Callithrix jacchus: one gene and its partner. The protein of the gene in region 2 interacts with the protein of the main gene of each other region in a pairwise test. Links are inferred from orthologs where the notes say so. Each region holds a gene or a part of one and is shown on either strand. Other genes may lie near its edges.

Region 1 (4,255 bases), on a different chromosome or scaffold from region 2:
GTCCTTCATTCTTGAACCCTTCCAAATAAATTATTTTCTAACACTGCTGGCAGAGTGACACTATGAAAACTTTACATCCTTTCAGCGGTTTATTGCTCTTAGAATAAAAATAATTGTCTTTGGCTGGGCGCAGTGGCTCATGCCTGTAATTCCAGCACTTTGGGAGGCCGAGGCGGGTGGATCACAAGGTTAGACGTTTGAGATCAGCCTGACCAACATGGTGAAACCCCATCACTACTAAAAATACAAAAATTAGCAGGGCGTGGTAGCAGGCACCTGTAATCCCAGCTACTCGGGAGGCCGAGGCAGGAGAATTACTTGAACCCGGAGGCAGAGGTTGGGTGAGCCGAGATCGCGCCATTGCACTCCAGCCTGGGCGACATAGCGGGACTCCTTCTCAACAAAAAAAAAAAACAAAACAACAACAAAAATTAGCTGGGCATGGTGCTGCGCGCCTGTAATCCCAGCTAATCGATAGGCTGAGTCAGGAGAATCCCTTGAACCTGGGAGGCGGAGGGTGCAGTGAGCCGAGATCAGCCACTGCACTCCAGCGTGGGTGACAGAAAGAAACTCGTCTCGTTAAAAAAATAAAAATGTTTAGGCCGGGTGCAGTGGTTTACAGTTGTAATCCCAGCACTTTGGGAAGCCAAAGCGGGCAGATCACAAGGTCAGGAGTTCGAAACGAGCTAGACCAACAAAGTAAAACCGCGTCTCTACCAAAAATACAAAAAACTAGTCGGTAATCCTAGCTACTGAGGAGGCTGAGGCAGGAGAGTTGCTCGACCCGGGAGGCGAAGGTTGCAGTCAGCTGAGATCACGCCACTGCACTCTAGCCTGGAAGACAGAGCGAGACTCCGTCTCTAAAATTAAAAAAATGTAATCTAAAACTTCCCCTAGCCTTTTACCTCGTTGCCTTTCTGAGAGCAAGATGGGTCACCAGCAGCTGTACTGGAGCCACCCGCGAAAATTCGGCCAGGGTTCTCGCTCTTGACGAGTCTGTTCAAACCCGCACTGTTTGATACGTAAATACGGTCTCAATATGTGCCGCCAGTGTTTCCGTCAGTACGCGAAGGATATAGGTTTCATTAAGTTGGACTAAATGGTCTTCAAAGGATTATCCAAGACATCTACCATGAAAAACCATTTTTTTTTTTTTTTTTTTTGAGACGGAGTTTCGCTCTTGTTACCCAGGCTGGAGTGCAATGGCGCGATCTCGGCTCACCCAACCTCCGCCTCCTGGGTTCAGGCAATTCTCCTGCCTCAGCCTCCTGAGTAGCCGGGATTACAGGCACGCGCCACCATGCCCAGCTAATTTTTTGTATTTTTAGTAGAGACGGGGTTTCACCTTGTTGACCAGGATGGTCTCGATCTCTTGACCTCGTGATCCGCCCGCCTCGGCCTCCCAAAGTGCTGGGATTACAGGCTTGAGCCACCGCGCCCGGCCTCATGAAAAACCATTATACCTCTTTGTATATAAAATAAACATTTTTAAAAACCAAAAAAAAATTCCCCTAAATCTAAATCTTTTTCTTCACTTTCAGGCGGATTACTGCACAGATTAACATTTGTATGGCATTTTTACATCTCTATAGCAGGTCTACATTTGGATTTGAAATTTACCTTTGCGTAACCCTTACAAGAACTACTCACTTTGGACCTCACGAAGACTTAAAACTGAGAGTTAAAAACGACCCGGTTCAAGTAAAGAGGCTCAAATATGGCCGTTCAGTGCATGTGCAACACGTCTCAAAAGCTCTCTTCCTTCAGTTTGTGCGGCTGCCAATGTCTGGCTCCGCTTGCTCCTAAATCCTAAGGACACTGGGAAAAAGAAAATTCGTACCCAGCACCTTTGGTTTAGGATCCGTGTCCATCTAAAGGGAATTAAGGAGTTTCACGCTTTTCCAACCTCAGCTCAATGACCTCTTCCTAAAATCTTCCCTCACCGCCGGTTTTCTCCTGTAACCATTTCCCTCTGGCCCCGATATTCAGTTAATTCTTCCGACCGGACAAAGCACTTCTTCAAAACAGAACACCCGGGCCCGGAGCAGCGGCGTGTGCCCAAAAGCACTTTGGAAGGCCGAGGCGGAAAGGTCGCTTGAGCCTGGGCGGTCAAGGTGGCACTGAGCAGTGATGCTCACTCCAGCCTGGGAGACACGCAGGGACCCTGTTCCCAAAACCAAAACCTCAACACCTCATTTCTCTCTTGGTCCCCATCTCTTGACACCCTCAACCTCCTCTCCTCAGCTAAACCTAGCAAACCTCATTTCTTACTCCGCTGTACCAGGCTGCAATCATGTTCTTGGGGTTTATTCCTAAGAGGCAAGAGAAGAAAACCCGAAGGTACATTGTTTTCTCCTTAAAAGACAAATCCGGGCCGGGCGCGGTGGCTCATACCTGTAATCTCAGCACCTGGGACGGCCAAGGCAGATCACCTGAAGTCGGAGTTTGAGACCGGCCTGACCAACACGGTGAAACCCCATCTCTACTAAAAATACAAAAATCAGCTGGGCGTGGTGGCGCGTGCCTGTAGTCCCAGCTACTCGCGAGGCTGAGGCAGGAGAATCGCTTGAACCCAGAAGGCGGAGGTTGCCCTGAGCCGAGATCGGGCCATTGCACTCCAGCCTGGGCGACGCAGCGAGGCTCCGTCTCAATAATAATAATAATAATAATAATAATAATAATAATCAGGAGTGCTCAGGGAAGACAGAAACACGAGGAGACAAAGACAGAAAACACATTCACTAAGACTGTACCGACCTCCTTGCCTTTTACCTTCTCCATATTCGGACAGGAAGCGAAGCTTGGCCAGATGCTTCCAAAATGGCCCCTGGCCCCAGATTGTTGTTTGCAAAGTCTCCTCCCACTTCCTGCCTCCCAAAGACCCTTTTTCTCCCCACCTCTTCTTTTCTGCTCCCCTTCTGTTCCCTCCCCCACAATTTGTAAATGCTGAAATTGTATCCTTTCTTATTCATGAGGGGACTTTTGTAGGGGTGGAATCACTAATCCCATTCCTGGCCCTTTTCTGTGCACTTTTAATGTAATTATCCAAAGTATGGTTCCGGAGACCTTGAGAGGTAAAAGGCTCCTGCAGAACAATTCCTGGGGGGGGGGGGGGGGGGGGGGAGTTGCCAGAGACTTGACTTGTGCAGGATGTGGAAAGGGATTTAGTAATGGAACATGTGGAAACAGCAGACTTCAGGGACCAGACTGGTGGCTTGAAGAAAGCTAAACTATTTTCTCCCACCGAATACATTCCATTTCCTAAGGGAGTTACTCAACCAACTAAAACTCAGGTTTCTGTCTGTACCAACACCCAGCATCTTTTTCATCTGCCAATGATCTAGTAATCATAGGTTTTAAAGTCTGCAGAGTAGGACGGGCGTGGTGGCTCAAGCCTGCAGTCCCAGCACTTTGGGAGGCCCGGGTGGGCGGATCACAAGGTCAAGAGATCGATACCAATTTGGCCAACATAGTGAAACCCCATCTCTACTAAAAATACAAAAATTAGGCCGGGCGCGGTGGTTCACGCCTGTAATCCCAGCACTTTGGGAGGCCGAGGCGGGCGGATCACGAAGTCAAGAGATCGAGACCATCCTGGTCAACAGGGTGAAATCCCGTCTCTACTGAAAATACAAAAATTAGCCGGGCGTGGTAGCACGCGCCTGTAATCCCAGCTGCTCCGGAGGCTGAGGCGGAAAAATCGCTTGAACCCAGGCGGAGGTTGCAGTGAGCAGAGATTGCGCCACTGCACTCCAGCCTGGCGACAGAGTAAGACTCCATCTCAAAAAAATAAATAATAAATAATAATAATAATACAAAAATTAGCTGGGAGTGGTGGCGCGCGCCAGTAATCTCAGTTACTCAAGACGCCGAGGCAGGAGAATCGCTTGAACCCAGGAGGCGGAGGTTGCAGTGAGCCGAGATCTTCCCATTGCACTCCAGCCTGGCAATAGAGGGAGACTCCGTCTCAAAAAAAAAACGTCTATAGAGTATGTTATTTATTGTGTGTGTGTGTTGGGAGTGGGCAGGGCGGGGTCCTCTCTACTTTGACCAGGCTGGTCTCGAACTCTATGCTTCCAGTGATTCTCCAGCCTTCTCCTCCCAAGGTGTTGGCATTACACGTGTGAGCCAGCACTCCGAGCCCAAGTATTCTTTATATCAAATTGTGAGTTTAAAACTCAGTCAGGGCGTGGTGGCTCATGCCTGTAATCCCAGCACTTTGGGAGACTGAGGTGGGCGGATCACCTGAGGTCAG
Region 2 (3,561 bases):
GCCTCCAACTGGGCTCAAGCCATGCTGGCACCTCAGCCTCCCGAGTAGCTGGGACCACAGGTGTGTACCCACATCCAGATCCTTCCCCACTACTACTAATTTTTTTTTTTTGAGACAGAGCTTCAGTCTTGTTGCCCAGGCTGAAGTGCAATGGTGCAATCTCTGCTCACGGCAACTTCCGCCTCCCAAGTTCAAGCGAGTCTCCTGCCGTCAGCCTCCCAAGTAGCTGGGATTACAGGCATGTACCACACCACACCCGGCTAATTTTTGTATTTTTAGTAGAGACGGGGTTTCTCCATGTTGGCCAGGCTGGACTTGGAACTCCCATCCTCAGGTGATCCATCTGCCTCTGCCTCCCAAAGTGCTGGGATTACAGGTGTGAGCCACCACGCCCAGCCCCCACACTCCAGGAACTCAGAGCAAAACCAAGGGCCCTAAAATCCGAATCCATGTGGGATGTTAAAGCAGCCTCCCTCCCTGTGCTCCTAAAAGGGCCCAGGCTTGGCCTCAACAGGCTGAAGGTGGTGGGAGGACAGATGCTGGGGGGCCAGGCCCTGGGGAATCAACTAGCTTGAGCTGGGGACGATCTGGAGCCACAGGAATGAGCCCCGTTGGCTGCTGGCCGGTGCTGGATGGCTCTGTCTGTGCAGTCCCCTGCAACTGGAAAGCTGTGGGGGCCACCATGCATCCCCAGGGCTCAGCACAGGCAGGGACTAGGCCGTGGATCGGACCTGGACCTGCCCTGCCTCGTGGGGGTGTGGCCTCCAGAGAGCAGTACTCACCAAAGTTGGACTCGCCAAGCTCCTTCCCATGGCGGATCATGCACTCGCCCAGGAGCCCCTCCGACTGCGGGTAGCCGGGGTTCTTCACCTGGCCCCGGATTTTAGACACCGTGTTGAGCATGGTCAGCTTAGCCCGCGAGGCTGGAACAGGACGGCCCGGTGGGAGTGGGCTGCAGCCCCCACATCCCCTGCCCCACCCTTACTTCCTGTGCCTGCGGACAGTCCAGGCCACACAAAGCACAGTGGAGGGTCCCTTCCCTGCTCCCACCAGCCTCGAAGGAGCTGGCAGCGCATGGAGAGGTAACCAAGCTCCTTGGGGCAACACCACCTCCTCCTAAGGGCTGCTCCTCCCAGAATGTGGCTATGACCAGGAACCCTTCATCTAGGGGGGTGCCAGGAAGGAGTACGCGCAGCGGTGATGGGCAGTGGGGGGTGGGGAGGCCAAGGCTCCTGGGGTGGGTGAGGAGCTATGTCCTTTCCGCTGCCTGCTTGGGTCTGCTCCTGGTAGGGCTTGAGTGGACAATGCTGGCTGTGGGTCTGCCCCATGTCCACTGCCTCCTATGGAGCCCGCATTTGGGGAAAGGCCTGCCTCACGGCTGGGGAGACCCAGTTCATGGGCTCCAAGCATGGAGCCCAGGCCAGGGGCTCTGGGGAGGGACAGTCAGTACAAATAAGTCCCACAAGTGAGCTGGGGGAGAGGCTCCCTGCCGGGACTGCTGGCTGGAAGAGGTTTAAGGTTGGGACAGCCTTGAGGAATTGGCCGGCCTGAGTGAGGCAACAAAGGGGCTGAGCTGCTGGCTGACGTGGAAAGGCAAGCACAGCCTCGGCACCCCTGGATCCAGCAGTGCCTAAAACCTGCCACCCATGAGCCTGGTGGTTCTGTCAGCCCCTACGTTCCCTCTGAGGGCCTGGGAAGGCCCTAGCATCGGCTGGAGCACCCACCTGGGTTGGGCTGCAGGTACTCGATAGTCCTGGCCAGCACTTCGGTCACCGCCTTGCTGGTGACATCCACCTTCTGTGGAGAGACGCGGCATATGAGACTCTACAGCCACTGGGGGCTCAAGGTACACAAGGCCCCTGCTGCCCCACCTCCTTCCCTAACAGCCCACACTAGGATCCCCCAACCTCCCTCCATGTCTTCAGCTCAGCCACGTCCCCATGGCTGCCTGCTTGTCAAGTCCAGCTGACAAGGCCCCCACACCCCAGCTCTCCATGCCTGCTGGGCCCCATCACTCCACAGACCCAGGCCAGTCAGAGTTGGCCACCTCCACTATGCCTAGCAGAGGTCAGGCCCAGGGAGGTGCCATCACCACATGGAGAACACGGTTTCTTCCTCACCTTCTCCATCTCTTTGAAGTCATCATCCAGCTTGGTCCCCTCGGCCCCTCCGACCTTCTCACTGACCAGCTGGAGGACAGAAGAGGGGAAATGCTGTGAGCCCAGGGGAGGAGGAAGATGACAGGAGGCCCTGGGCCACCTTCCAGCCACATCACATCCACAGGAGGTGGCAGAAAGCCAGGCGAACGGGACACATGCCTCAGGCACTGTCGCAGGCACCCTAGGGCCACTTGCTGGCCCAGAGCAGGGTGGGCCTGCAGGGGGAGTGCGGGGGTGGCCTATCCTCGTCTGTGTGTCCTGACTGCCACTCACAGTGCTGCTCACACATCCACAGGGACCCCGCCACAGCAGGCTCCACCTTAGCCATAGTGGAGTCCAGAGCCTCAGCCTGGGAACACATGATTCAGAAGACACTGCTTCCCAAGGCGCCTACACAAACATCCCCATAGAGAGCAATGTGGGGATCTGCCCCCATTCTTGAATATTTTGTGTCTACTTAAAAAAAATCCTGACCAGGCGCGGTGGGGCTCATGCCTGTAATCCCAGCACTTTGGGAGGTAGAGGTGGGAAGATCATGAGGTCAGGAGATTGAGACCATCCTGGCCAACGTGGTGAAACCCTGTCTCTATTAAAAACACAAAAATAAGCTGGGTGTGGTGGCGTGCACCTGTAGTCCCAGCTACTTGGGAGGCTGAGGCACAAGAACTGCTTGAACCCAGGAGGTGGAAGCTGCACTCTAGCAGCCTGGTGACAGAGCGAGACTCTGTCCCAAATAAGAAAAAATCCTGCCAGCTCAGCTGGGACAGGCAGCAGGAAGTGACGGTTAAAAGCAGAGGTGCAGGCAGGGAAGCCGCCACTCTCCTGCACTCTGGTGCCCGCGTCTGTGGGATGAGACAGCCCGGCCCTTGCCACATGGGCACTGAGGCTCACAAGGCAGTCAGCACAGGCCTGGCACACCACAGTCCTCATGGCTCTCAGCTGCAGGAACAGCGATGACAATGACGTCTCTTTCGTGTGGTGGGAGGCAGAATCAAGCACTTAATTCCCAAACCTCTGAGAGCGCCTGGGATGTGAAAAACAGCCCTGGAACGGGGCGGAACCCCTCAACCCCAGCACCGCTGTCCCAGCACAGGCGCTCCTTCTTCACCCCGGGCATCCCGTGTGTGCCTGGAGCCAAGAGATGCCTCGAAGGGAGAAGGGAGAAGAGGGACCTTGTGAGGCCCTTCCCAGTACACAGTGCTTCACGAGGAGTCGAGTGGCTGCCAGGCCCTGCCCCAAATGGAGGCTCCCAGAGGGAGGCCACCTGAGGTCACATGCTTGGCCCTGCCCTCTGGAGGCCAAGTGTCACAGGGTGTGCCATCTCTGAAGCCATCGGCAAATTTAACGTCCCGGGTCTGGTCACTTGTGTGAAGACGTGCACACGGCCTAGGCAGGAGTGTGA

The links.
Region 1: the proteins of SH3GL1 (region 2) and DPPA4 interact in binary tests that used the Homo sapiens proteins (3 or more experiments, as listed by UniProt). The link is inferred for Callithrix jacchus from reciprocal best matches to the Homo sapiens genes SH3GL1 and DPPA4.

What each region holds. Positions count from the first base shown.
Region 1 is NC_133516.1:100,617,521-100,621,775, forward strand, and holds the start of DPPA4 (developmental pluripotency-associated protein 4), read right to left. Parts: upstream 2,841-4,255; 5' UTR 2,782-2,840; coding exon 2,758-2,781; intron 1,138-2,757; exon of another isoform or gene 897-1,137; intron 1-896. UniProt on the Homo sapiens protein: May be involved in the maintenance of active epigenetic status of target genes. May inhibit differentiation of embryonic cells into a primitive ectoderm lineage.
Region 2 is NC_133523.1:4,111,552-4,115,112, forward strand, and holds part of SH3GL1 (endophilin-A2), read right to left. Parts: intron 2,190-3,561; coding exon 2,121-2,189; intron 1,798-2,120; coding exon 1,725-1,797; intron 924-1,724; coding exon 783-923; intron 253-782; exon of another isoform or gene 1-252. UniProt on the Homo sapiens protein: Implicated in endocytosis. May recruit other proteins to membranes with high curvature.